Linked DNA regions of Callithrix jacchus. The protein of the gene in region 1 binds, or shares a complex with, the protein of each later gene. Links are inferred from orthologs where the notes say so. Each region holds a gene or a part of one and is shown on either strand. Other genes may lie near its edges.

The links. Proteins that work in one complex are often made in the same cells at the same time.
Region 2: the proteins of KDM4A (region 1) and H1-4 are in contact, whole or in part, in a crystal structure (PDB 6H8P), measured with the Homo sapiens proteins. The link is inferred for Callithrix jacchus from reciprocal best matches to the Homo sapiens genes KDM4A and H1-4. Residues at the interface, in NP_055478.2 of Homo sapiens: Ile71, Asn86, Ala134, Asp135, Asn137, Thr167, Ile168, Glu169, Gly170, Val171, Tyr175, Tyr177, Glu190, Asp191, Ser196, His240, Lys241, Ser288, Thr289, Asn290, Asp311, Met312, Val313; in NP_005312.1 of Homo sapiens: Ala24, Arg25, Lys26, Ser27, Ala28, Gly29.

What each region holds. Positions count from the first base shown.
Region 1 is NC_133508.1:80,339,518-80,343,168, reverse strand, and holds part of KDM4A (lysine-specific demethylase 4A), read right to left. Parts: intron 495-3,651; coding exon 313-494; intron 1-312. UniProt on the Homo sapiens protein: Histone demethylase that specifically demethylates 'Lys-9' and 'Lys-36' residues of histone H3, thereby playing a central role in histone code. Does not demethylate histone H3 'Lys-4', H3 'Lys-27' nor H4 'Lys-20'.
Region 2 is NC_133505.1:4,582,416-4,585,145, reverse strand, and holds H1-4 (histone H1.4), read left to right. Parts: upstream 1-1,269; 5' UTR 1,270-1,330; coding exon 1,331-1,990; 3' UTR 1,991-2,100; downstream 2,101-2,730. UniProt on the Homo sapiens protein: Histone H1 protein binds to linker DNA between nucleosomes forming the macromolecular structure known as the chromatin fiber. Histones H1 are necessary for the condensation of nucleosome chains into higher-order structured fibers.

The sequences.
Region 1 (3,651 bases):
CTTGGCAGGAATAGTCATGGACTAGACTAACAAAAATGCAGATTGCTATGCAAACAATGATGTCTGTGATGAGTGCATGTGCAAAGGGAAGCTTAAGCCCACCCTCAGCTTGTCTCCAAAGCATTCTCAATTGAAACCCACAATGCTGGGTTATCTGCCTGGAGAAGACTGACCAATACACAGATGGGGCAGAGAATACTGGGGGCGGAGGAGGCCTTTCCCAAGACAACCAGTGACAAGCTATATACTAACAAATCTAGCTTCCCTCTGATTGCTAGTCCTGGGTAAACAGAGTGCATGGAGCTGAGTTACCTGATGGTAAGTCTGGAAGATCATACAGACAGCGCAGTGAGGGGCCTGCTGGGCCATGGTCTCGTTGAATTCCTTCTCAGCCTCAAAGTTTGGAGGTCGGTTCTGCCATAGCTGGCTCAGAGGTTTGGCCCAGGCCTCTGTCTCCTCAGCCTCTTCCTCAGGGGTCAGCTGTTCAGATGTCTCTAGAGAAGGAAACAGAAATGTGAGTCAGCACCAGCCCTGCACACCTGTCGCTCTGCCTGGAGAGCAGATGAGTTCAACTAGGACTTCTGGTCCTAGGTTTTGACCAAGGGTGACTCCTGGATTCCTAAGGATGATAAAGGCAAAGGGTGGAAGCAATTGTCAATAGACTCCTTCAATATCTGGACGACGTGTGGGAAGTCCTGCCAGTACCCCATTCTCTGGCCAGACTGACTCATGGCCTCCATTCTTCCTCCTGCTCCACGAGCTCAGCTTGCTCTGCTCTCCCTTAACAGCTGCCACATTCAACCCCTCTGCCCAAGGACAGCAGAATGAACCACCATCTTGCCAGAAACTGTCTTACTTGCTGCCTCCAAAATGTCAGCATGTTAAGTCCTTTACCTTTTAGACTTTTCCCTTTAGAGCAACTAAACAAAGAAAGAAAATAAAGGAATGGGCAAAGCTGAGAAGTTGTAATATCATGGTCCTTGGACAGGACTTTCCAGCTGCCTCTGGAAAGATCAGGGGTAGTACCTATTCTGGACAAGGTTCCCTAACCGATCCTAGCTCTGCCTCAGAAGAAATCAGAGCTGCATGTTCAGAATGAATCCTCTTCCCAGCCACAAGATGTAATGTCCTGACGCTGGCAAACAATATCCTGCAGGCTGAATCCAGCCCACTCAGGAAGTTAAGAATTATTTTTACTTTTGGGGATGGAGTCTTGCTATGCTGCCCAGGCTGGAGTACAGTGGCTATTTACATGTGCAATCATAGCCCACCACAGCCTCAAACTCCTGGGCTCAAGTGATCCTCCCGCCAAAGCCTCCAAAGTAGCTCAGATAACAGGCATGTGCCACTGCACCCAGCTTTGTTTTTACATTTTCAGCATTGGGGCTTAAAAAAAAAAAGACAACCACAGAGACCAAGGAGGACTGTAAAGTCTAAAATATTTACTTCCTGGCCCTTCATATATCCCTGGTCATGACAGACTGTACCTCCTAGGTATGCTAGACAGCAGAGCATACAACTTATTGGACTTCACCAAGGCCTGGGAAAGAAAAATCCCCTCTGGGTGCATCTTCTTACAAGAAAGGGATATACAGCTGAGTAGAAAACAAAAAAAGTTTGCTCACAAAACTCATATAAATGATAAAGGTACACATTTCCCAGTTATTCCTCAATCGGTGAGACAGGCACAGTCTACAAGCTCCCAGCAGAAACAAGGAAACAGAAACAGGGAAGTAAAAGGAAATGCCAGAATTCTGAAGGTTATGAGTAAATGAGGACAGTCTTTAGTAGATGTCCAAAATGTTTCTCCAGATGCTCCACCATGCCGGGGAGGTATGAGAAGCTACAGTTGCTGTGCCCTTCTTTGCCAAGTGTGATCAAGCAAGGCCCAACTATGCAGCCCCTGATAGGAGACTGGCTCTGTGCCAGCCCCATCAGATGGGGCATTCCGAAGGATCACTGCATCTCGCTAGGAGTGGCATCATCAATCCCCTGCTATGACCCTCCAGTGATCTCGCTTCTTCCCAGACAGAAGTGCTTTCCCAGAAGCGGCCCTGAAATCTGTTCAAAGCAGCCATGGAGAGCTCTGCTCTGCATTAGGTTCCTTTTTTTTTCATTTCTGGCAACACCAGCTCAGTGCAGATAGTTTTCTACTCTGCCCTCAAAGTCGTGTTAAATCTAAAGGCATCTGGCATCTGCCATTGTGCGCCGCCTCAGTGTAGCCTAAGGACACCAATGCAGACAATTAAAATCAACCCCTATTTGCCCCATTGTTCAGTTGTAATCAGGAGCCAACGTACTTAGAACCCAAACAGATTTTTTTTCTTTATCCTGGCCAAACAGGAGTGACCAAGATAGAATGGAAGAAACAGAGACAAACAGACAGGCTCACACTCACAACTAAAAAATTAACACACTGACATCTGTTCCATTTACAAAGCCAAAAGTGACCCCAAATCATTACATTTGTGAATACTGAATGATGAGGGAAAATGTTCACTACATTAAGCGAAAATTTCAGGAAGCAAAATTATACAGTTTACATATGTAATACTTCATTGAGCTGTATAGTTCAAAGGTGTGCATCACTGAATTGTTATGCTTGAATTGAAATTTATTTTAAATTAGGGGGAGGCATAAACATTAAATAAACAGTTGCCCAATACAGTATGTGATCTTAGCTTGATTTATATTAGAGTTCAAAGGAAATAACTATAAAACACATTCTTGGCACAAGCAGGGAATGATGGGCATGGACTGAAGATGAAAGGATATTGTGGGGCCAGGCGTGGTGGCTCATGTGTGTAATCCCAGCACTCTGGGAGGCTGAAACGGTGAATCACTTGAGGTCAGAAGTTCAAGACCAGCCTGGCCAACATGGTGAAACCCCCATCTCTACTAAAGGATACAAAAATTGGCTGGGCATGGTAGCATGCACCTGTAATCCCAGCTACTTGGGAGGCTGAAGCAGGAGAATCACTTGAACCCAGGAGGCAGAGGTTGCAGTGAGCCAAGATCATGCCAGCTGTACTCCAGCCCGGGCAAGAGTGAGTGAGACTTCATCTCAAAATAAAAAAGTAGGGGAGGTTGTATATTATCTCAATTGCATTATTTCGTTATTTTAAAAAGATATACATGGACATATTCTAATATATGATTAGAAAAGTCAGGAGGATAGATAATATATTAATATATTCATAATGGTCATCTTTGAAGGGTAATTTTGTTTTCCTCTTGGTAACTTTTACAGTTTCCTAAAGTCTATATTGCTGTAAACCAATCAGGAGATAGGCTGGTGCTACCCAGAGAACCTGAAGCTCCTGTCTGGGTGGAATAAGAACATGGAAGGCTCCCTAGGACCTTACTCAGAGTCCTGCCACACTTCTGACTGGAGGGCAGAAGGGATGTTCCCCATCCAGTTTATCATGATCTTTCAACTTTAAAAAAAAAAAAAAAAAAAAAGCAGAGATGGGGCACTGATATCAGATCAGGAAGGAGAGGACCAGGTAGGACAGAGCCTGACATTAGTCAAGAGTTACAATTGATTCTGCTCTCCCTGAGGGTGCCAGGGCCCAGTCACAAACACAGCCAGAGCTGAGGCTCTGCAATGCTGATCTTCCTGAATCTCTGGGCTCCAGGAAGCACAGGAGA
Region 2 (2,730 bases), on another chromosome or scaffold:
AAATTCACTCTTTCACACATTGTTCAAAGGATGTTTACAGAGAGCAATGATTTATAGTAGCTTAGATAGACTCTCAAAGCTCTAAATCTGAGATTGAAATTTGAACTTATCATTTAATTACTATATGTCACTTATTTTTCTTTCTATGCACTCTGGGAAACATTGGGACACAGTCTTCAGGGAAATTGAAACCATGCATGGTAAGTGGACTAGTCATTCCTCAACTATTCAGTAATAATAGGGGCTGGGTTTCTCTAATAATGGGAGTAGATCTGTTTCAGTCTACTCTTCTTATTTATTTTCCCTCATCATCAGCTCTTGAATTTCGGCTCTAAAATACCTTATTGCAATTTGGTTCTGAAGCATATGCCAAAAGCATTCAGCAAGGCTGCAGACAATTTCTTTAAAGTGCACCTCCACTTCCAGTGACTTTATGAACATCACATTTAAAAATTAATCCTTTTTCATCTCTGTACCCTGAGTATATTTTGGACTTCCCTTCGGTCCCAAATACCCCGAATTCAAGGTATCTCAATCCATGGAGCAGTTGTCCAGGGGAAGAGAGAAGCAACAGCCCCGCCCCCAACCCTTGGGAGCAGAAAGGGAAAGAATTATCCAAAGGAATTGTTTAAAAACTCAGGTGTAGCGGACAGAAGTAAAATCATGGCTGCATAGAATGATGTCCCAGGGGTCCAAAACTTAATCCCAAATGGGCAATAATTTGTTTGGCATTAAAGTAAATCAGTTTGATGAACTCAAATGCCCTCGGCTCAATAGGCAGGACTCTCCGAGGAGCCTGTGTTACTTCCCTCACTTAAGTGCAGATTTGTAATAAAAATCTCAATGCCAGTGGCATGCTTTTTGGACATATAAGAAGCTAACCACTTGGAGAATCATATTTGAGAGGTCAGAAAACTCCACAGTTAAAGATCGGTTTGTAATTTACGAAGAAAATAGAAAGTTTTGTTTCTCTGAGTTGAAATTTGCCAAGCACGGTGGGAAATATTGCAAGTTTTTGGCACAAGGCTTTGTGCTTTCCTCATAATTTGAGATCTGCGTGAAGCCTGAGGCTTCGGGGATCATTATCTGAGAAAAATCGGGCAGTTCGGTGTAGACAATTTTTATATTTTTGGCTTTTTTTGAGGTGTAACAAACACAACTCGGGATCCGAGAGGACACTCTGCGGCTGCCAGCGAGGCGGGCTGGACAGCGCACCAATCACGGCGCAGCTCCGCCCTATATAAACGGGCGGGCGCAGCGCCGCGGCCCGAGTCCCGGCCAGTGCCTCTGCTTCCGGCTCGAATTGCTCTCTCTCACGCCTGCCTTCAACATGTCCGAGACTGCGCCTGCCGCGCCCGCTGCTCCGGCCCCTGCCGAGAAGGCACCCGTCAAGAAGAAGGCCCGCAAGTCTGCAGGTGCGGCTAAGCGCAAAGCTTCTGGGCCCCCGGTGTCCGAGCTCATTACCAAGGCTGTCGCCGCCTCCAAGGAGCGCAGCGGCGTGTCTTTGGCCGCTCTCAAGAAAGCGCTGGCAGCAGCTGGCTATGACGTGGAGAAGAACAACAGCCGTATCAAGCTAGGTCTCAAGAGCCTGGTGAGCAAGGGTACCCTGGTGCAGACCAAGGGCACCGGCGCTTCGGGGTCCTTCAAACTCAACAAGAAGGCAGCCTCTGGGGAAGCCAAGCCTAAGGCTAAAAAGGCAGGCGCGGCGAAGGCAAAAAAGCCCACGGGAGCGGCGAAGAAGCCTAAGAAGGCGACGGGGGCAGCAACCCCTAAGAAGACCGCCAAGAAGACCCCAAAGAAGGCGAAGAAGCCGGCTGCGGCTGCTGGAGCCAAAAAAGCGAAAAGCCCGAAAAAGGCGAAAGCAGCCAAGCCAAAAAAGGCGCCCAAGAGCCCAGCGAAGGCCAAAGCAGTGAAACCCAAGGCGGCTAAACCAAAGACCGCCAAGCCTAAGGCAGCCAAGCCAAAGAAGGCGGCAGCCAAGAAAAAGTAAGAAGTTACTTTGGCCAACTGCTTTGAAGCTCAACACAACCCAAAGGCTCTTTTCAGAGCCACCCACCCATCTCAGTAAAAGAGCTGTTGCACTCAGGGGGCGTGGCTGGGAGAAAGACCACGCCAAGGAGGGGCGGGGTCTCCCGGGGAGATAGCCGGTAGGGAGAGAAGTAAAGTCTTTAAGTATGCGAAGTCTTGAGCATTCTGTCTTCCAAGCTCGAGTGTAGTGCCGTCATCGCGGTTTTATTGCGCTCTCGAATTCTGGAGCGCAGCCCATCTGTGGCATGCCTAGGAGGACCTGGCCGGTAGATAATAGCATAGAGAAGAGTCAGTTTGGGTTATTCAGGCTTGCTTACTGGGTCTCCGGCACTCCGAAAACGAACACATACCACTTCCACGTATTACACTCCGCAGAAGCGTATGTATCGGGACATAAGGGGCGTAGTACAGACACAATTGCCTAAGCGCTCTTATGTCAAATGGTTGGGGAGACCACTGCAATAAAGATCAGAAGCTGTCACTATAGAAAAGATTTGTTCCCTAACGTGGTACCTGGATAAAGGGCTTGCTGCCAGACTTTGGGGGATGTCCCAATTAGCAAGTCTACAGTACAGGAGTGAGGGAGAAAATGTGAACTCTCCTAATCTGATGAGTAGTTTCAATGTAAGCGAAAAGCTCTCTAAAACAACTGCTCTACGACAAGTACACAACTGTCTTGACTGAAGAGGTCTATTTATAGTA